Cricetulus griseus: one gene and its partners. The main gene of each other region encodes a partner of the protein of the gene in region 5 in a complex. Links are inferred from orthologs where the notes say so. Each region holds a gene or a part of one and is shown on either strand. Other genes may lie near its edges.

What was found.
Region 1: Iqcd (region 5) and Ccdc153 share a complex: the UniProt entries of both Homo sapiens proteins name them as parts of the nexin-dynein regulatory complex. The link is inferred for Cricetulus griseus from reciprocal best matches to the Homo sapiens genes DRC10 and DRC12.
Region 2: Iqcd (region 5) and Efcab2 share a complex: the UniProt entries of both Homo sapiens proteins name them as parts of the nexin-dynein regulatory complex. The link is inferred for Cricetulus griseus from reciprocal best matches to the Homo sapiens genes DRC10 and DRC8.
Region 3: Iqcd (region 5) and Gas8 share a complex: the UniProt entries of both Homo sapiens proteins name them as parts of the nexin-dynein regulatory complex. The link is inferred for Cricetulus griseus from reciprocal best matches to the Homo sapiens genes DRC10 and DRC4.
Region 4: Iqcd (region 5) and Fbxl13 share a complex: the UniProt entries of both Homo sapiens proteins name them as parts of the nexin-dynein regulatory complex. The link is inferred for Cricetulus griseus from reciprocal best matches to the Homo sapiens genes DRC10 and FBXL13.

The regions. Positions count from the first base shown.
Region 1 is NC_048597.1:155,926,258-155,930,981, reverse strand, and holds the start of Ccdc153 (coiled-coil domain-containing protein 153), read right to left. Parts: upstream 3,079-4,724; 5' UTR 2,327-3,078; intron 2,060-2,326; 5' UTR 2,050-2,059; coding exon 1,980-2,049; intron 1,954-1,979; exon of another isoform or gene 1,915-1,953; coding exon of another isoform or gene 1,910-1,914; intron 1,474-1,909; coding exon of another isoform or gene 1,469-1,473; coding exon 1,403-1,468; intron 309-1,402; coding exon 189-308; intron 1-188. UniProt on the Homo sapiens protein: Component of the nexin-dynein regulatory complex (N-DRC), a key regulator of ciliary/flagellar motility which maintains the alignment and integrity of the distal axoneme and regulates microtubule sliding in motile axonemes.
Region 2 is NC_048598.1:15,755,946-15,760,780, forward strand, and holds the start of Efcab2 (dynein regulatory complex protein 8), read right to left. Parts: upstream 3,132-4,835; coding exon 3,101-3,131; coding exon of another isoform or gene 2,724-3,100; exon of another isoform or gene 2,213-2,723; intron 1-2,212. Other genes in the region: protein SOGA3, read left to right, coding at 2,724-3,308. UniProt on the Homo sapiens protein: Component of the nexin-dynein regulatory complex (N-DRC), a key regulator of ciliary/flagellar motility which maintains the alignment and integrity of the distal axoneme and regulates microtubule sliding in motile axonemes.
Region 3 is NC_048596.1:200,187,244-200,191,371, reverse strand, and holds the end of Gas8 (dynein regulatory complex subunit 4), read right to left. Parts: intron 4,092-4,128; coding exon 4,026-4,091; intron 970-4,025; coding exon 820-969; 3' UTR 697-819; downstream 1-696. UniProt on the Homo sapiens protein: Component of the nexin-dynein regulatory complex (N-DRC), a key regulator of ciliary/flagellar motility which maintains the alignment and integrity of the distal axoneme and regulates microtubule sliding in motile axonemes.
Region 4 is NW_023276806.1:172,829,307-172,834,195, reverse strand, and holds the start of Fbxl13 (dynein regulatory complex subunit 6), read right to left. Parts: upstream 3,273-4,889; 5' UTR 3,045-3,272; coding exon 2,970-3,044; intron 2,962-2,969; coding exon of another isoform or gene 2,850-2,961; exon of another isoform or gene 2,849-2,849; intron 2,592-2,848; exon of another isoform or gene 2,576-2,591; intron 1-2,575. Other genes in the region: Armc10 (armadillo repeat-containing protein 10), read left to right, coding at 3,706-3,838. UniProt on the Homo sapiens protein: Substrate-recognition component of the SCF (SKP1-CUL1-F-box protein)-type E3 ubiquitin ligase complex.
Region 5 is NC_048597.1:100,417,014-100,419,913, reverse strand, and holds the end of Iqcd (dynein regulatory complex protein 10), read right to left. Parts: intron 1,278-2,900; coding exon 951-1,277; 3' UTR 814-950; downstream 1-813. UniProt on the Homo sapiens protein: Component of the nexin-dynein regulatory complex (N-DRC), a key regulator of ciliary/flagellar motility which maintains the alignment and integrity of the distal axoneme and regulates microtubule sliding in motile axonemes.

The DNA of each region.
Region 1 (4,724 bases), about 56 Mb from region 5:
GAATGTGGTAATCTGCATTCTGCCAGGGATCTGTCTTTGGTTCTCAGGACCCTGCCTATGCAGGGACAGCAGAGGGTAGGGTATGGCAGTTAGATTCCTCTTCATTTCCCTTCCTTGAATTCCCCAATTTTCATGGTTGTCCTCTTCCATGCCTTTGTCTCCTGCCCACCTGGCCAATCAAATCATACCTGCATAGACAGCATCCCTTTCACTTTGGGCCTTCTCCAGTTCAGCTTCTAGCCCTTGCAACCTCTGCTTCAGCCTCTCTTCAGAAGCCTTGGCTCTGCGGGTCTCATCCCTCTGGAGAGCTGTGGACAGTGTCAAGAGCCATGCTCAGGTCTGGCTGTGGGTCCTACAGAACCAATCACCATGGCCTCCATGAACTAAGTTCACCTCTGTGAACTTGGTGACAGGTGTCAATTTCGTATACTCTTTATTAGTTGCCCCAAAACCCATAGGGTTTTCATTCCTAAGTCAATAATCCCTCCATGTTCTGGCCACTATAAGACAATGGCTTCCCCAAGTTGCAGGTTAGCTCCATGGTAGACTACTTACCTATCATGAATGAAGTTGTGATTCTATTCCCAGCTGGGGGAAGGGGTGGGAGATAGCTTCTTTCATTGATCTTCACTGCCTAGCCCTTCCTCACAATCTTGCAAATAGATTAATGGCTATCTTGGTTTAGCCCTGCACACAGTTCAAACTTTCCAGTTCCCCAAGAACCCAGAAATGCCCTATGTTCCATACATTGGGTGGCTAGTTTATTGTCAACTTGACATAAGCTAGAGCCATTAGAGAAGAGGTAGCCTCAACTGAGAAAATGCTTCCATAAGATCAGGCTGTAGGCAAGATTTTAGGGCATTTTCTTAATTAGTGACTAATGGGGAGGGCCTACCCACTGTGGATGGTGCCACCACTGAGCTGGTGGTCCTGCGTTCTATAAGAAAGCAGGCTGAGCTGGGCATTGGTGGCGCACGCCTTAATCCCAGCACTCGGGAGGCAGAGGCAGGCGGATCTCTGTGAGTCCGAGGCCAGCCTGGTCTCCAGAGCGAGTGTCAGGATAGGCTCCAAAGCTACACAGAGAAACCCTGTCTCGAAAAACCGAAAAACAAAACAAAATAAAACAACAACAACAAAAAGGGAAGCAGGCTGAGCAAGCCATGTGAAGCAAGGCAGTAAGCAGCAACCCTTCATGACCTCTGTATCAGCTCCTGCCTCCAGGATCCTGCCCTACTCGGATTCCTATCCTGACTTTCTTCAATAATAAACAGTGATTTGGAAGCTTAAGCCAAATAAACCCTTTCCTCCCCAAGTTGATTTGGTCATGGTGTTTCATCACAGCAACGATGACCCTAACTAGGACTTCTATCTCTGCCATCTCCTGAGGCTTCAAACTTCTTACCCAAGTGGTCCTGAAGCAGCTCCTTCTCCAGCAGGACCATCCTATGCTTGGCCTCAGCCTCTGCATCTGTTCTGGCAAGACAATAGTCTCAGGTTATCCTTCTCTCGGCCTCACCCCAGTGCTGCTCTGCACCTGCACTTCTTCCTTCGTGATGGAGGAAGATAGCTGGATGAGGGAGGCCCAATGGCAAATCTGACAAATTTACGGCTGAGTGGCAGAGTCTTCACCCACCATGTGCACGGTGGGTGCTCAAAATAAGGGTGAAAAATATGATGAGGGCAAAGAACTAGATGGGGCTCCAGGGGGAATTTGGGAAGGAGGCATTCTCCACTTCCTCAGCCCCATGGAATCTGGACGCAAGGATCTGCAGAGGAGGGCCAGGAAGCTTCACCCTAGCCAAGTGTGGTAGCAACGCCTGTAATCCTGTCACTATGAAGACTGGGGCAGCCTGGGTCCCATAGTGACCCTGTGTCAAAAGAACAAAAGACAAAACCAAAACAAACCCACTCCATTTGTTGCCCAGAGGGCTGGATTCCCTCCGAGGACCTTTGTGTCACAGACACGCCCTGTGACTCACCAGGACTTGATTTTTTTTTCTTCTTCTGTGCCCCAGTTTTTCTCCCCTTTCCTTTGGTTTTAGGTGGCATCCTTGCTGCCCTGGGGGAGGGAAGACCTTCTGTGTAGGTCTGCATACAGAAATGCTCTCCTGACTCCTAGAGGTAGGGGTCTTGGGGCAGTCAGAATTCTAGTCTTCCAGTGTATCTTACACTTTCTAGAAGCTTTGGTTCTTGGTCTCCTGGGAACCCCAGGCAAGGCTGGGAGGTAGAGCAATTCTATGGGCAGCAGACAGCCCTTTTAGAGAAGATAAATCTCTGGACCTGGTCCCTTCTGTCTCCCCAACATGCTTATTCTTCCCCTTCCTACCTGGAGGACCTTCTCTTGCTTGAGTGCTGTCTCCCTGGGGAATAACACTCCTTGGGAAAGATAGAGTCCCAAGCAGATTGAGCCTAGGGAGGAAGGAGCCTGGGTCCTGGGAGCCAATCCAGGCTGAAAAACTTCCCCAAGAGGCAGGACCAAGAACTGGGATGTTGGGTTTCTGGAGACTGCCTGCTGCCCAGGCAACCGGGAAACACTGTGTTCATAGGCAGGTAGAATGGGCTAAATTGACTCACACAAAGGTCCTGTGTAGGTAGATTCCCCTCCTACCCGCAAAGAAAAGGTCTTGGAGCTGAATAGCTATTATTCATGTCTACACAGGCACTGCCTATCATCTGGAGACTTTGCAGTCTAGAAATCTAGAAGCATCCAGTGTGAGAGGCTAGTGCTTTACAGATGGAGAAGAAAGGCAGGGAAAGTAGCCATTGCAGGTACTTTATATCCCGAGGTCTCATGAACACAGTGACATGATTTGCTTTAGAACTTGAGGTCTACTTCAGAAATGCTATCTGTGGCTTGTGCAGGAAACACGTGCTGGCACAGGTAGTTGAGAGTTTTCCACTTAAGAGAAATGAGAACAGAGAAGAGCTGTGGACTTGGGGATGCTGACCCAGAAAGGAGGCCACAAATTAGGCAGAGTTGCGAACTGAGCTACTTAATTTTGCTCAGCTTGGATTTCTTGGTGTATAAGTTTTGTAGTTCCCTCCTGGAGTCCAGTTGTAGAGAGGGAGGAGGGATGAGCAAAGGGGTCAAGACCATGCTGGGGAAACTCACAGAAACAGCTGACCTGAGCAAGTGGGAACACACGGACCCCAGTCTGACATCTGGGGAACCAGCATAGGACCCAACCAGGCCCCCTGAAGATAGGTGTCAGTTGGGAGGCCAGGGCAGTCTATGGGGCCTCTGGCAGTGGAACCGGTATTTATCCTAGTGCACAGACTTTGGGAGCCCATTCCCTATGGAGGGATACTCTCTCAGCCTAGATACATGGGGGAGGGCCTAGGCCTTGCCCCAAATGATGTGACAGACTTTGATGATCCCCCTGGGAAGGCTTTACCCTCCCTGGGGAGTGGACGGCAGTGGGAATGGGATGGGGGTGGGTGGGCATGGGAAGACAGGACCGAGATTGCTATGTAAAATAAGGATATATATATATATATATATTATATATATATATATATAATATATATATATATACTCAGTGGTGTGTTTCTAGGACTTCTTTCTCTCCCGCTCAACAATTGTCTCACTCTCCCTATTTCTCTGTGAGGTTACTCTGCAGACAGGGTGTTTAGAAGCCCCCAAGCTCTCTGCAGCATAGAGTTGGTTAGTGCTCCCTCTAGTGGACTTGCTTTGACCAGAGTCTCCTAAATTTTGCAGTTTAGTATTTCTTGCACAATATGGGGGAGATTCTCTTTGGGGGATGCCTTCTAGCATCTTGCATATGATTTAAAAAATTGATTGTGGGTAGAGAGTGTGATGGGGTAGCTTGCTATTGCCCCCTCCATCTGGGAGGGCTCCATCCTGGAACCGGGCCATTACTGGGCATCACAATGGCATCATACATAGAATGGAACAGTAAGCCTTCCTTCTTCCCTGTGGATTATGGGATCTACAGACTCTTTTTGGGCACTTCTGTCTATTCCAGAATTTTGGTCAACTGCATATTATCAGAAGCAAATCTGCAGAAACAGGTATAAGACGTGGGAGGAAGATCTCTCACCTGTGAAGAAGAAGCAGAAGGTCAATGAGTGTTTATTTAACCCCATGGCACTTTAGAGATCTTAGAAAAGATTTTTAATTTTAATTTTTCATTTCGCTATATGTGTGTGGGTTTGTGCATGTGAGTGCAGTACCCAAAGAGGCTGGAAGAGAGCATTGGAGCACCTAGAGTTGGCCTTACAGGCTGCTGTGGGCAGTCCATCAGTATGGTTGGTGCTAGGAACCAAAGTCGGGGTCTCTGCATGAGCAGTGCTTGCTCTTAACTGCTGGACCATGTCTCCAGCCATCACTCTGTACATTTTGTAGAGGGAAGAGAGGAGTCAGACTTGCCTCTATGGTGCTTACAACCCATGGAACTTGGGGCTGGTGAGCCTTGTGCACACTTCCCAGATATAGAGGACATCTTTCTTCTCACTTTCCACCATGTTTTTATTTATTCTTCCTTCAGAATCTCCTCTTCCTGCCCTAGAATACATGGGAGTTCCTGCCCTTTCCTTTGTACGAGGAGCACGTTTGGGACTTCTTTCACTGGGTCACTGTGTCACTCATGTTGGTGCTTGGAACAACACATTGAGTATAGAAGTGACAGAGTACAAGCAATACCTCAGGCCTCAGAAGAGCATTTGTTTTACAGATATGTTCAGTCAACTGACTCTCAGGTGCA
Region 2 (4,835 bases), on a different chromosome or scaffold from region 5:
CAGTACTGTGTAAAATTCTCCAGGAGACATGAACAATGGGATTAAAAGATCCAATAAATTGACAACTGCATGTGTTACCCATTTAAACAAACAGAACAAACCGGAAGGAAAAAAATCCAAACAAAAACGCTGAGGAAACTTCAAAGAAATGATAAAACTTAAAAGAGATTTTTTTCATATCATATTTCAAACATTCTTTCAGTACAAAAAAAAGATGAATGACTTAAAATTGACTTTGTTTTAAATTTCTAAATTCATATGCTTTTTAGCTAGAGAAAAAAATTAGGAAAAAGTAAATTACACTGTCCAAACACAAAATAAGCTACAGAGAAGCATAACTACATCAACACATACATAACCACATAGAAAGGTTTTTCCAAGCAATTTTTCCCTCCCTCCCCCCTCCCCAGACAGGGTTTCTCTGTATTGCTTTGGAGGCTTTCCTGGAACTCATTCTGTAGACCAGGATGGCCTTGAACTCACAGAGATCTGACTGCCTCTGCCTCCTACAGGCCTTTAGTCTCTGCTGGGACTAAAGGTGTGCACCACCAACGCCCATTTTAGCAATTCTTCATCTTAATTATCCACTTTACTGGACAGAGACACAGCACACCTCTCAATGTGTCTCAGGGCTTTCCCAGGGACAACTGGATCTTGAGGGCACTAACCTAATCCATTTATAGATTCAAAACTTTGAACAGAACTATAAAAGGTAAGGTCTCTTGAATGAAAAAGGATGCTGGGGTGTGTCCTGGGGGGGGGGTGTCTTATCTTGGCCCTGGCTCCTTCCTATTGCTCCTCTTGGCATGTTTTCCAGCTGTTATGTTTCTAATCTCCCTTACTGATGAGGCCATAGAGAGGGCAAAGCCAATGCCTTCCTCATCTTCTTAGTCACTTAAGTTCTGACTTCACCTAAGGCTAAAGTTAACCTGCAAGCCCCACTTGCCCAAGGACAGAACACTTCCTGGAATGCTGGGGGCTGTTGTCCTTGTAAGATAACAAGTCACATATTTTCACTTCAATAAACAAGGTTGGTTGCCCCATCTGCACAGGATGTGTTTGATCAGAGAGAGGCTGGAGATTTACCTAGGCAGGAAATAGGACAGGGTGTATGTTTGCCCCCATTGGCCAAAGGTGGAAAGTACAGTGGCCTTGTGGGTTTGGCCTTTATAGGCACCTGACTGACCTGATTTCAGCACCATTTCTCTGGGAATCCTGAATACAGACCTGGCTAGTCTCCACCTTCCTGGTCAGTATTTAATAGAGCTTGCTTCAGTTGGACAATCACAGGTTTGGTCTTCTCAAAATTCTCCAGTTTAATACTAACTTTCCATCAAACAAGCATTAAATATACAAGAACTTTAATATATATGAAATTCAGCTTTCAACAGCCACTACTTAACTTGTACAGTTGCAGACAGAACTGTTTCTTCCTCTAAATGTATTTTAAGCTGAAAAATATGCTTTGTTAACTAAAGAATCAGGAATTCATTCTCTTTCTCTCTCTCTCTCTCTCTCTCTCTCTCTCTCTCTCTCTCTCTCTCTCTCTCTCTCTCTCTCTCCCTCCTTCCCTCCCTCCCTCTCTCTAGGGCTAAAAATCAGACTGGGCATACTCCTTTAATCACATCACTGAGTTCTACAAACCAATCAGGGGCACAAGGTAAATAAAAGAATATATTTTCTTGCATTGTAAAAACTGGCAGTATATGCCAATGCTCCCCTAAGCAAGTCTTTTTTAAAAAATGTAATTTATCTCCTAATAGTTCTTTTTCCCTTTTATTTTCTTTGGGGGGGGGGTAAATAAGAATCTAATTAAATAAAAGGGAAAGCTTTTTTATGTGAAAATTTTTTTCATATATTATTTTGGTCATATTCTTTCACCTCCCTGATCCTCCCTACCCCCCTACTCAACAACTATCATATTCTTAAAAAAAAAAAAAAAAAAAAAAAGTACATGGACATTTTTCTTAAGAGTGTTCCTTTCACTTCTAAAGCAGTAACACAAAACCTTAATACCTTAATAGGGTTAAACCTGTACTACAATCCCGGCTTCTGAGATTAATTTTATCATGTATAAATCTCAATTTCCAGTTATCAATAAACAGATCTCTGGCAGTCTCACAGTTTCCCTGCTGCTTTTCTGCGGTCACCATGACGATGGACTAAACACCTCATGTAAATATTAGTTAACTACTTTGTTCCAAACTGAGAGTGGAGGAGGGTCGATATGGTGCGTTGTGAAAACTCAAAAAAACTGCAACAAAGATGGAGCGTGACCTTCCCTCCACGAATATTTGCCCTTTACTATCTTAGGGCTTGCTTTATGTATTTATTTACTGATTTATGGAGCGGTGATTTCGGTCAATTGTGGTGTAATTGCTGTTGGGTCACTGGACGCTAACCACGGACCCGATTTTAAGTCACGCTGCTGGGTTAGAAGCCAACTCAAAGGGTCTAGCAGTTCAACGCGGATCGTCGCTTTTCGGGGTCCCCGGAGGCCTCGCGGGTCACTGCAGCCGCCTCGGTCGGTCCCCAGCACGCGCGGGGAACCCGGCGGGTCCGGGCGGCCCCGACGGGTCCCCGGCTGGGTTTTCCTTTCCGTTCTTATTATAAAGCGGTTATTTGGGCATCTCTTCCTTTAAGCGAGGTTCTGGCGACACCCGGGCGAGCACGGCCCGGTGTGACCTCGAGGCCTCGCTCTGCCGCCTGGCGGAGGAGGCAACATGGAGGCGGCCGGCGCCTGGGGCCGGGCCGGGCGTGGCTACGGCGCGACCGCAGAGGCTCCCGCCCGGTTCCGGCGCCGGCTCGCGTCCGCCGTGAGGCCGGCCTCCGGGTCCCCACAGTCCCGGGCGCGGCGGGCGTGGAGGCCCCGGGAACAAGGACGCCATTATGAAGGTCCCCTGCGGCTGCCACGGCCGCAGCCCGCGCGGACCTCAGCCGGGGGATGGGAGGGCGCGGCGGGCGGGGCGGAGGGGCCGCGGGGCGGAGCCGACGGCGGGGACGCGGGCTGGCGCCGCTCCTCGGCCCCCGTCTGCCCGCCGCGCCGCGCCGCCCCGCGCCGCCGAGGGGCTCAAGATGGAGGCCCCGGCAGCGTTCCTACCTGTGCCTTCCCGTTCCTTCTCCTCCGCCATCTTGGTGCGGAGCCCGTCGCCTGGGAGATGCCCATCACAAGCCCTGCGGGGCGCGCGAGCCCGGCCTGCGGGAGGGAGCCCCTCGGCGCGCGGGGGTCCTCCCGCTTCCGCCCGGGGCCCGCTCCGCTCCCCCAGCCCAGCCCCGGGGTCTTGCGGCCTAGGGGAGTCGTTTATTAATAAAGTTCCGGAGCCCGCCTTGGCCTGTTTGTGACCGTCCTGAGAGTTCAAGCGCTGCGCGCTCCCCCTCGGGGGACGGGGCTGCCTCGTTTGTGTGCTTATTTGTTTATTTACTTATTTATTTATTTACTTATTTGCGGTTTCTGCTGCTTCGGTTTGGTTTTGTATTGTTTTTGCGCAGAGCTCGCGTGCAGAGCGCGGCTTCTCCCCGGCCCATTCACAACCGTAAGGCCGCTCGCCCGCTGCCCTCCCTCCCGCTCGCCCGCCAGCCAGGCCCGGTGCGTCCCCTGGGTCGCCCTCTAAGCGGAGCCACTGCGCAGCCCAGGGAAACTGGAGCGAAAACGGACGTGGGCCGCTGCCGGAGGAAGCCAGCAGGCCTCTCTCCGGGATCGCGAGAGAGGGCTCGCTGTAGGAAAACACGTGCAAAATAGGCGCAAAACACTGCGTCGTCAAGGCTGCAATGTCTGGTACAAAATAGTGTTCTCATAGCAACGAATAAATTGCCGGTCTGTTCTCAGTATTACACACATTGATAGGTTGATGGTGCAGTTTGGCGTGACCTTCCAGGGAGAGTTTTGAATCCTATGTTCCTGAGGAACTTGGCTGTAGTGTTTTGTTATTTTATGGGTAAGCTTGATATATTTGGATGTTTTCTTTTTAAAAAAAAAAGTATTAAAATGTCTTTAACAATGTGGCTCAGATGAATAACTAGTTTTAATCCTTAATGATATTTCAGGGCATGTGTACTCATTTAAAAATTTATTATAAAAATAACAACTAAATGTTAAGGCTTTTAAAATGCAAGATATTAGTATTTAAATTTGGGGAGGGGGAAGGGAGGTTCGAGACGGGCTTTCTCTCAGTGTGGCTTTGGAGGCTGTCCTGGAACTAGCTTTTGTAGACCAGGCTGATCTCGAACTCAACAGAGATCAGCCTGCCTCTGCTCCTGAGTGCTGGGATTAAAGGCATGCACACCGCCAGGCTGTATTTAATTTTGTGTTACTGGTTTTTCTTAACTGAACTTCTGTAAACAGAGTGCAATGAACCTTCAAAGCAGGCCAAGCAAGTGTGGGGAGAAAGAGAACCGGCCATTCCTGATTGCAGAGGATCCTAAATGTTGCCTGCTCCCTAAGTCTTTCTCCACCTCTTCCTCAGTGGTTCCATAGTTCCACAAGCTCTTGGAATGGTTTATAGTGCTTTTATTTATTTGTTTCTACCACATAAGTTTCTAGCGAATAAAGTTGTGTTATACAATGGGACATTCTGTCTGGAAATTGTCTTGTATGTCTGTGTCTATATGTGAGAAAGAGTGTATATGTGTCTGTGTGTGAGAAAGAAAGTGTGAGTATGTGTCTGTGTGTGTGAGCGTGCATCTATCTGTGTGTGTATGTAAGTGTGTGTGTGTGTGTGTGTGTGTGTGTGTGTGTGTGTGTGTGTGTGTGTGGTTTGTATCTTTGTTTTAGATGTAAGAGGAGACATTCTCTCTACGTGCCCAGGCTGTTCTTAAATTCCAGGACTCAAGCAATC
Region 3 (4,128 bases), on a different chromosome or scaffold from region 5:
GGATAAGGAAATCTTAACTGAGGAGATGCCACCATGAGGTGGCTTGTTGTCAAGTTGTTGAACCATTTTCTTGATTAATGATTGACGTTGGAGGGCCCAGCCCACTGTGGGCAGTGCCACCTCTGGGCAAAGTGCTCCCTGAGTTGTATAAGAAAAGCCATGGAGAGGAAGCCAGTAAGCAGCATGCCCCCATGGTCTCTGCTTGGGTTCTTGCCTCCAGGTTTCTTCCCTGCCTTCCTCAGTGATAGTGTGACCTGAAAGTTCTAAGCTGAAATAAACCATTTCTTCCTCCAAGTTGCTTTTGGTCACAGTGTTTATCACAGCAACAGAAAACAAAACTAGGACAGAGTCTTATAAATTTCACAAGTCTCTGCTATTGAACCCATGGTTCTATACCACCTACCAGGGGAGGTTGTACAGAGCCTGGCCCAAAGGAGGAAGCCTGCCAGTCTTCTCTTGCTCTGCCCAGCCAAATCAAGAACATGGGCTTCATGCTAAACAAAGGACAATGAGGTACCATCTTGCTGGAAGGTTAGTACTCAGAGGTACACTCAGAGAAAGGACTGCAGAGGTTGGAGGCAGGACTCAAAGGGGCAAGTGTGACACAAACTGGGCAGTACATGGAATCAAGTAGACAAAGAGACCTTAGCAGAAGCCTTGCAGGTACTTCTTCCCAACAAAGACAGAATGCAAAGGAAGTGTGGACAACGTTCATTGCTGATGAAGTGTACAAAACAAAAACCTGATGTTCTTGGAGTAGAACGGGTATCACTTGCAAAGTGAGGCACGCAGTCTAAAGGCAAAAGCCCCAGAAGGTGGCTATGTAGGGGCACCCACAAGTCCTGCAGGGCCCTGTCCCAGTGTCTGTCCAATCACTGCTGTCTCCAGGGGCTTGAATCCCACATTGTCCAGGGGGATCCCGAAGGCCAATAACTTCGCCTCATATGTACGCAACAGGTCATTGTGGGCCTGAAAGGACAGAGCAATGTCAGGGAGAAAAGGAATTCACTCCAGCCTGGGAACCATAGTCAACATGCTATGGCCCACTCAGAGGTAGGCTCCATCCCATGGAGGGGAGGGGTAGGAGATCTGGGCCAAGCATTGGTCAATGGTTTGTTCTGTGCTACAGCAGTGCTGATGCCTTTATGTCATGAACTCAAATCACTCACAATAAGGACCAACTCAGAAGAACTGAGACTTGGGTGGACTCCTGGCTCTTTAGCAAGTACTTCCCAGTAAAGGTCTCTATCCCTTCCCTGTCAAAGTAGAATGGCATCTACTCCCTACCTCTGGAGATTCACCCCAGTGTCTCTCTCTGCAGAGGATACAATTGGAGGGCATTGGACCTCAGAAATAGTGCTGTTGGAGTCAACAACACCAACACCCCCCACCCCACCACCACCACCACCACCCCCCACCCCACCCGCCTTCCTTGTGGGGTGGGGTTTTTCTGCTAATCTTCTGTTGTTTTTTGGAGTTTTGTTTTCATTTTTGTCTTGGAAAAGGCCCCACTATATAGTCCAGGTTGGCTAGAATTTGTTATTTCTCCCAGAACAGCCTAGCACTCAAAATCTCACTGCTTCAAAGGAAAGTTAGTTTTCTCCATGCAGTGCCACTGGACAAGACAACCATATTCTAGGACGTCCCTTGACCAGGAGTAGTTGACCAACACAAAACAAACTCCATTTTTTGTGAGTGTGTGTGTGTGTGTGTGTGTGTGTGTGTGTGTGTGTGTGTGTACTTTTTGTCATATTTGTTTTGTTTTGGCATTTGTCTGTCTTAGGTTTTTCCATTTTTATGGGTTTTATTGTTTTTGTTTTTGAAAGAGAAAGAGCATAAAGTTGAGTGGGAAGGGGGTGTTGGGGGAAAAGGAAGAAACATGATCAAAATATATTGTATGAAATTTTTTAATTAAAAAAAAAACCCTGCTGTTTCAGCCATGTGAGTACTAATATTACATGCATACACCAATACACCTTGCAAATTTTTTTCCTCTTTACTCAGGGTCTCCCTATATAGCCATTGATGTCCTGGAACTTGATATATGGACCTGGCTGGCCTATAATTTACCAAGATCCACCTGTCTCTGCCTCCTGAGTGGCAACATTAAAGGGTGTGCCACCACACCCAGCTCTCAAAAAAAGCATGTCTAGTACTTTTTATTATTATTACATATATGTATGTGGGTGTATGTATGGGAAGGTACATATTGTGCAGATGCCCAAAGAGGCCAGAAGAGAAACTCAGATGCCTTGGAGCAGAAGTTACAGGCAGCTGTGAGCCATCCATGTGGATGCTGGGAACTACACTCCAGTGTTCTTAACCAATGAGCCATCTTTTCCAACCCCCAAAATGCACTTTTTGCTGGATTGTTTGTTTTTCAAGACAGTGGTTCTCTGTGTAGCCCTGGCTGTCTGGAACTTACGCAGAGATCTGCACCTGTCTCTGTCTCCCAACTACTGGGATTAAAGGGGTATAACACCATGGCCCAGCTAAAATGCACATTTTTTAATTGGGAAAATTTCACTAAACAGTTTTAAAGACTTGAATTTGTTTTACTAATTTGTCTGAGACAGGGTGTTACTTTGCAGCCTATGCTGCCTTTGAATTCATGTCCCTCCTGCCTCAGTACCCCTAAGTGCTAGGATTATAGGTGTTGATGAATTCAATGAAATGAGAATGCTTGGAGCCTGTGAGACTCACAGCAAATGCCTGAAAAGGTCACTAGCTAGGATTTAGTGCACATCTGCAATCCCTGCACTCAGGCAGAAGCACACAGGTCCTGGTCCACACAGTGAGTTCCAAGCCAGCCAGGGTTATATAGTAGGACTGTGTCTCAAAAACAAAAAGGTTCATTATCCCCACTGTGGTTTAGTGAACAGAACTATTCCTTGAAATAGAGAGAAAAGGGTAAATAAGGATGGGTTCCAGAGAGAACTCAGAGGCTGAGCTCTGGTTACCAGACATCCCAGGTTCAGACACCTTGATCAGACAAAAGCCAAAGATATCCCCAGCCCCCAAGAGCTACACACACAGCAGTTATCCCTAATTTTGCTCTGCCATGTCAGTTGAGGGACAGGTGTGATAAGTAAAGCTCTAGCCTGACCTCTAGCGACGGCTGGGAAGCCAGGGCAGCTTGAGCAGCATGGAGTCTAGGAAGCAGTAACAGATACTGCCTACCTATGTCTAGGGTTAATTGTTTGTTTGTTTTTATTTTTTGAGACAGGGTTTCTCTGTGTAACCCTGGTTGTCCTGGAACTCAGAGATCTGCTTGCCTCTGCCTCCAGAGTGGTGGGGAAAAGGTGTGCACCATCACTGTCCAGCAAAACAAATATTTTTAAAAAATAAAACAATATAACATAAATGTCCCAATAAAGCCCTAAACAACAAACAGAGATGCAATGCCTGCTCCACAGAGTAAGGATGTGACTTGTGGGGTGGCTGTTCTTGGTAAATCCTTGACCAGAGAGTGGGCAAACACAGGCAGAACAGTCCACTTAAGGACCACCTAGATATAGAACCCAGGCTTCTCTCAGGTGCATGGGACAGATGGCAGCCAGGGTCCAGTGGGTACACATGTTAGTGTGTAAGGGTATGGAGCTACCTTAGATTCACAAAGGTAACGAAAGGGTGAGAGTGACTTACTGCAGTGAGCATTCATGTGGAAGAGCAGAGAGACACTTCCAACTGCCTGCCTGAGGGGCCAGCTGAGCAAAGAAGGGTGAGGGAGAGACAAATTTGAACATGGTAGGAGACAGAGTCCTAAGTGTGTGCCAGGCAGACCTATAAGCAAAGCCAGGACTAGGTCACTCTCAAGCCCTAAGGCTATGAAGACATATCACAAGGGGATTACCATACCTACCTTCTGAATGAAACATGCAGAAGAAATGAGAGAGGGCCTCAGGGACCCTTCCTTCATCTAGAATGTTCACAAGCTGAAGCTGGGTACAGGAGCACAGTTCTATGGAGGAGACAGCCCTGAGGGAGAAGGTGGGGCTCTGGGGATGGGGATGAGCCATACATACCTTGCAGACCCGGGCCAGCTCATACTGTAAGTCCTTGATGGTGGTATTCTTCGATTCCAGAACATCCTAAGGAGAGAGACAAGGGCGACTTTAATATTCGTCA
Region 4 (4,889 bases), on a different chromosome or scaffold from region 5:
CTGGAAATGATCCAGCAGAAATTATAGTACCTTTAACTAATGAGGAATTTCCTCCTTGTGGAAGGATAATGAATATTGGCAAATAGCTCTTACTGACTTTTTGGGAACAATTAGCAACAACTATCCCAAAACTGACAGAATTAAATTGATAAAAAAGACAGTCTGGATTCTTCCACGTATTGTGAGACAAACTCCCATTTCTGGAGTTCTTACCTTCTACACTGATGTCAACAAATCAGGTCAGGCAGGTTATAAAGCAGGGGAGGTAAGTAAAGTAGTTCAAAGTCCATATACATCTGTACAGAAGGCAGAATTATATGCAATTCTCATGGTGCTTATCGATTTTACAGAACCTCTTAATATAGTTACTGATTCTCAATATGCAGAGTCATGTTACACATTGAGACTACAGAATTAGTTCCTGATAATACAGAATTAACCTCATTGTTTTTACAATTACAGGAAACTATCAGAAACAGAAGTGATCCTATATATGTTACACATATCAGATCCCATACGGGTCTGCCAGGCCCACTAGCACAAGGCGATGAGATTGATCGTTTATTAATTGGAAGTGTGCTAGAAGCCTCAGAATTTCATAAGAAACATCATGTAAATAGCAAAGGTTTGAAAAAGGACTTCTCCATCACTTGGCAACAAGCCAAGGAGATAGTGAGAAACTGTCCTACTTGTTCCTTTTATAACCAAACTCCATTGCCAGCAGGTTGTAATCCTAAGGGCATTCGGAGAAATGAGGTTTGGCAGATGGATGTCTTTCACTTTGCAGAATTTGGAAATTTGAAATATGTGTATCATACTATAGACACGTTCTCAGGGTTCCAATGGGCTACTGCTCTTAACTCTGAAAAAGCTGATTCTGTTATTACACACCTGCTAGAGGTGATGGCAATTATGGATATACCTGCACAAATAAAAATTGACAATGCTCTAGCATATGTCTCCACAAAATTGGAACAGTTTTTCAAATATTATAACAAAAAGCATGTTACTGGTATACCACACAATCCTACGGGACAAGCAGCTGTTGATAGATCTAATAGAACACTTAAGGAGATGCTCAACAAACAAACTTGGAAGACTAAACCCCCCAAACATAGGTTGCATAATGCTTTATTAACACTAAACTTTCTTAATGCCAATGAGAAAGAACAAACAGCTGCAGAAAGACACTGGACTATGGAGAAAACTGCTGAACTGAATCAGCCGATATACTTCAAAGATGTATTAACCTCTGTATGGAAACCAGGACATGTGTTACAGTGGGGTAGGGGTTTTGCATTGGTTTCCACAGGACAAGAAAAACTTTGGATACCATCAAAGTTGATCAAGATTCGAGTTGAAAAGGAAAAACCTCTTGATGAGGAGAAATGACAGGTATTCTACTAAGGTATATCTTATAAATTAAATAGAAACCTCCCAAAGGAAAGGGAAGTGTTTTGCTTTTATCTTCACAGGAAAACTCATCTCCTGAAGGCAAAGGACACTGCATGGGTAGATGCTTAAGAAGAGAAGGTAGCTATAACCATCAAACAAAAGGAACGTGCCATACGGCAAACTTTACAGCTATCTCTCAGAGAACTCGATTTCTCTTTTTCTAGCCCCTATTCAATTAAACCAACGCTGGATTTAGAGGTGGATTTGGCTTTCCTCCTCTAAAATCCAAGCACGTTGTTTAACTAAACTTTAGATTTTCTGTATAGTATCAAGAAGCCAATTGATGTAATACAGAATGATAGAAGAATTTGGGGACTGTCTTTGTCTTTTCTTGGCTCTCTTTCTCAAGGTGTACACCCTCTCATAATCGTTATTCTCCCATGGTTGCCTTTCCTAGTATGTGTACATACACAAGCAACATTTCTCTGCTGTTTATGTTTGAGTCCCACACAGCCAATGAAGACCTGCCTGACAGCAATCCCTCGACACCCTGGAAAGAAAATGGGCCACACCTCCTCAACTGCACTGCATCCAACTTGCTCCATTTCACCTGACACTCCGGCCAAAGCTTTGGGTACTGACTTCAATCAAGTTGAGGATTTCAAGCATGGACTGGATACAATCCATTCAAGACTTTTACTATACTAACATTTTCTTCCTACAGGACCCCATAAGGATGTCGTCATCCCATTTCAGCAGGAAGTAACTTGGAGAATACTACGTCCCCTTTCCCCCATTGTTGTCACTTAAGATAGTGTATATACCTAGTTAGGGATAGTTTCCTATTGTTTATGGTTGGGATTGGAAGGAGGTGTTCGGGCTTGGACACCTCTTTCAGATGACTTTAGGGTTTAGTTAACATAGATAGTTAGGATGTGACATAAGCAGATTGTTGTATCTTCTTATATTTCACCTTTATGATTGTTAATTTTGGATACTTAACACTGTTAAGTTTTACTCCTCTTTTAGACTAAAAGGGGAATTGTAGGGGAAGCTGCCCACTTAGGGGTGTGCCTAACCACGCCTTTGAGGGCGTGGTCAGGGTGATGTAGAGTTCCAGGTTGGGGTTTTGCTTTTGGTTTCACTTTTCGGCTTGCTCTACAGACTGCTGCCATGCAATTTGGCTAGGTCGCTCTGTAAGTAAGGCTTTTCCCTATTAAATATTTCTACTTGGCTCCATACTGGTAATTTCCCACTTTGTCTGTCTGTCTGTCTGTCTGTCTGTCTGTCTCGCTCTGTCTCTGCTCTCTCTCTCTGTCTCTCTGTCTTTCTGTCTCTCTCTGTCTTTCTGTCTCTGTCTCTCTGTCTCTCTGTCTCTGTCTCTCTGTCTCTGTCTCTCTCTCTGTCCATTGGCTGACCCTCACTAGTTGACACTTGCTCTTTCTCCCTGCAGGATGTCACTTCTTCCTTCCTCACACCATCCAGGCTGGCGCCACCATCAATCACCCCGGTCTCCTCGCACCTGCCCCGGGGCCCCTCCCTGCGCCCGCCTTCGGCTTGGCTCCAGTAGGTACCTCACAGATCTGAGGGATGTAGTTGTCCCTGAAGTAGTTCCTCAGTTTGGGGGAGGCACCGCGTAACGAAGCCATGGCCGGAGACCGGACAGAGAAACCGCGGTCTGCCCAATCTGGAAACCTGCGCTTCCAAGGCCAGCCGCGTCGGGGCGTTGCGTGGCAACCACGGAACCAGCCAGGCACAGTCCCCGCCAGCCTGGAGATGGAAATAGAGCCCGAGGGGAGGGGCGGGGCGGAGCATGAAGTGGGCGTGGCCTGGAGCCTGGCAGGTTGGTCCCCACCACCTGGAGACTGAAACTAAAGACTGAGGGGAGGGGGCGGGGCGGAGTGAGAGAGGGCGGGGCAGAATGTAAAGGGGAGGGGCATGCAGCTGGGCGGGGCGGTCCGGGTCAGCCTGGAAATGGAAACTAGAGCCTGAGGGCAGGGGGCGGGGCGGAGTGAGGAGGGCGGGCAGAGTACAAAGGGGCGGCGCGGGGGTGGGGCGAGCTAGAGGAGAACTCAGAGGGGCGGGGCGGGGCGGGGCGGGGCGGGGTGGGGCGGGCGGCCACGAGTGCGGCGGCTCCAGCCAGCCCATCCCGCCGCCCTCCTGGTGATGCAGCGCGCGGGTAGAGGGGCTTCCGACGCTCGCAGGGCGGCTTCCGGAAGGCGGAGCTTCAGCCGCACTTCCTGTCTGCGGTGCTGCTGCCGCTACGTGCGGTGCTGAATCCGCTCCGTGCGACTCGGAGGCAGCGGCGGCATGGGCGGCGCGCGGGACGCGGGCTGGGTGGCGGCAGGGCTGGTCCTGGGCGCCGGCGCCTGCTACTGCATCTACCGGCTGACTCGGGGCCCGCGGCCAGGCGGGCGCAAACTGCGCCCCTCGCGGTCCGCAGGTGAGGCGCTGGGCCGCTCGGCAGGTGCACAGGTTCGGGGCTCGGGACCCCCGCGCTGGGCTGGGCTGGGCTGGGCTGGCCGGGCGGGGCCGGGGGCGCCCTCGGCAGTCACGGCCACTGCCTGTGGTCGCAGGGAGACTGGGTCTGGGTGAGGGGACGTGGGGCGGGCCGGCGGAGCGCTGGAGGTAGACGGTCCTGAGCCCTCCCTGCCCCCCCCCCACCTACTCCTTTGTTTAAGACGAGGGCTGCAAGAAAACATCGCTTCGCAACCGAGAACTAGGGTTTCTCCAAACCGTGTAGATTGCCTGTCGCTGTAAAACCTGTCCCGGGCCTTTGTGTCACCAAAGAGATGCCCCTGACTGCGAGAGGGTTACTGCGGCCTTCAAGCCCAGGCTGAAACTTTGCACGTAGCCGTGTGAAGAAGGGCTCCCTGAGGTGCAATTCTGCCAACACTTATGGGACCTGTCCTGGGGTCCAGCCGTAGCATCCTGCAACTCGGGGTGTATGCAGGAAAAAGACGCTCAGCCGACACGGGTTACAACCTTTGGACAAACAGGGCTTGTAGGTTCAGTCCTGTGGTGGTAAGAGAGGTCCAACAGTTTGCTGCATATGCTAAAGGGATCGTTTAGGTCGTGAAAACTGTTGGGGAAATATTTGAAATAAAGTCTGCCAACTAAAAACCTGCCTTCCTCAGAGGTAGAGAAACTTTTTTGTTTTGTTTTTCTAAGTAATTATTAAAACATTTTCCTGACACCATTACATGTAATCTTCTAATGGCATTCCAAAGACAGAATTCTCACCTTTGTGTAGCTGAGCATATGCAAAATAGTTTGTCCCTAAAATAAGAGGACTTGACAATACCATTTTATACACATAATTCATCTCAGCTTGACTGAGAGTCATTGGTGGGAACTAATTGCCTTTCCCTAAGGGGAAAATAGGGCACCTTTATCTATCAGCAGGTAGAAAAACATACTTGCTGGTCACTGGCTATGCAAACCTTTAATCCCAGAGGGAGGCAGAGGCAGGCAGATCTCTGTGAATTCGAGGC
Region 5 (2,900 bases):
AGTTCCAATGAATTTTGCAGCCAGCTATGGACTCCATGGGTACACCCACATAAATAAAATAACCCTTTTGTTGTTTTGTTGTTTTTGAGACAGGGTTTCCCCATGTAGCTCTGGCTGTCCTGGCACTCACTCTGTAGACCAGGCTGGCCTGAACTCAGAGATCACCTGCCTCAGCCTCCCACATAGCGTGCACCACCACCGCCCCCACCATCCCCCTTGACCATCCTTTGTTTCTTTAGTTTTGTTGTTTTGTTTTGAAGTGGAGGAAGCCAAAGAGGTGGCCCATGCCTGTAAATTCAGCATTTAGAAATCAAGAGGCAGGTGGATCACCAGCTGGGGCTACAGAGGAATACTATGTCTCAAAATAAAGTTGCAGGGTGGGATGCTGCTGCACCATGGAAGAAGACACAGGGCCGGGATACTGGGATATCAGGGTGATGGGATCTTCACAATAAGGGCTTTAGGATTCTATGGATGGTTCTTAATTTATGAGATTCTAGCAACTAATACTTTTCAAAAAATCATGCAATCTAAACACCAAACCAAAAACGCTGCTGCCCTCCAGAAGGTTCATAGCAAAGGGGCAGAGCTGTGGGTGGGTGGGCAGTCCCAGGGCAGGCCAGGGCTGCCCAGTGATGATGTCTCTCCATGGTAACCACAGTATCTCTTGGGTTGGGACCAGGGCCTCATTTCTCAATGAAGATGTGGGAGGATGGGGGTCCCAAAGCTTGTACCCTCCTCAGGATGCTGCGCCCATGAGCAACACAGCCTCATCCTGGGGTAGACACGTCTGTTGAAGGGTGAGCCCTTGAGTATGGTTTAAATGTTTTGTTTTGTTTTAATTTTGGCCATCATTAAAGTCAGGATGGAAGGGCTGGGGCAGGGTGGGAGTACCATTCAGACTGGGCAGGGCGTGGTTGAGGCTGGGCAGGAGCAGGGCCAGGCAGCAGTTACTTCTTCTTGCCTTTGCCCTTGCCCTTGCCTTTCTTCTCCTTACCCTTCTCCTCTTTGCCCTTCCCCTTGCCTTTGCCCCGCTTCTTCTTCTTGGATCTGAGCATGGAGCGCACCAGGTAGCCCTTCCACACCGCCTGGATGAGCGTGGCCGCCCGCACCATGCGCACCATCTCGCGCTCCGCCTCCACCCGCTTCTTGGAGTTGATCTCGCTCTCAGCACGGATCTGGGAAAACTCCTCCACCAGCACCGCATGCCTCTCCTTTAGCTCCTCCAGCTGCAGCTTCTCTTCCTTGTGGATGCTCTCCAGATCTTCGTATTCTTCCTAGAAGAGAGGCAGGGCTGGAGGGCACAAGGATGGCCTCCGTGCTCTCCATGCGCCCCAGACAGGTAGTATGCAGATAGAGCCTGTCTGTCTGCACCTGGGCTCACTCCAGGAAGGACCCAACTGAACAGATCTCAGGAATGAAGGGAGGAACAAGGGCTGAGAGATGTGCAAGCCTAGGTGTGTGTGTGTGTGTGTGTGTGTGTGTGTGTGTGTGTGTGTGTGTGTATACAACGTTAGGCTTCCTCCTGTGTGTGTGTGTGTGTGTGTGTGTGTGTGTGTGTGTGTGTGTATACAACGTTAGGCTTCCTCCTCAATCTTTCCACCTTACTTTTTGAGGCAGAATCTTTCACTGAACCTAGAGCTTGCAGGTATCACTGGGCTGGCAAACTCCCAGGATCTGCCTCCCGACACTGTGATTACAACTGCACACTGCAGTTTTCAGCTTCTTACATGGGTGCTGGGGATGCAAACTCAGGTCCTAGTGTTTGCATAGCAAGCATCCTACTAACTGAGGTGGTCCCCCAGCCGCTGACCGTAGCTTTGAAGTCTAGCTTCTCTGCACCTTTAGGAGATTCCCTTTAAAGCTTCTGGTTCTCCAGACAATTCCAAATACTCCAAATACCAGGGAGAGTTTCTGGGATTAAGTATGAAAGCCCCCTCACAGACACATGGCTGGAGGCCTGGTCCCCCCAGCTAGGTGGCGCTGTTGAGTGGCAACTGAATCATGAAAGCGCCAGTCTTGTCAGTGGGTTAACCAGTTGATGGATTCAGTGCTGAACAGGGAGGAGGAAGCCTTCCGGGAGGAAGTAGTTCACTGGGGGGTGGACCCTTGAAAGGTATCTTCTCTTTGATCTGTGTCTCTCTCATCCACTCCCTCCTCCCCTCTGTTCAACCCTTTTCTCCTCCCTCCTTGTTTATTCAGAGTGAACATTTCTGCTGCCCTCTCTGAGACATTCCCACCTCAGGCTCAAGGCAGAGGGGTCAAGTGACCATGGATTGGACTCTGAGGACTCTGAGGACTCCAGGACTCTGAGCTCATACAAAACTTTCTTCCCTTTCTCAAGTGTTTTATCATAGTGAGAGTTGGCCCCCGAGGATGTGATGCCACTGTACCAGGACCCAGTGTGGCCTCGGGGAAGGAGAGCTGCCTCCGGTGAGGCAGCTTCACAGAGGCCCAAAGCAGCAAGCTCTGTCTTGGGTGACCCCAGGGTCCTCTCCCACTTCTGTCTCTGGCCCCTCTTGCTGCAGTTCACCAGCCTCCCCCTCTCTGTGTCTCTCTCTGTCTCTGTCTCTGTCTGTCTCTCTCTCTGTCTCTGTCTCTCCCCCACCCCCTTTTTTCCACCAGCATCTACGAGTATCACTGAGGCAGAGCACTTCGGGGACAAGGACTGGGTGGACAGGGTCCCTGCCAGCAAGGATCCTGTGGCTCTCAGTGGACTCTGTTGCATTTGTTTTGTAGTACTGGGCCCTGTGCACACTAGGCAGATGCTCAGCCACCCCAGCCATGTCCCCAGCTACACAGCCTCCCCTGGGACCCATGAAACAGGCACCAGTCATGCATCTCCTGTACCCAGAAGGCACTGTGGTCAGTGTGAGAGGGACCCTGCTTGCCTTTCTTTG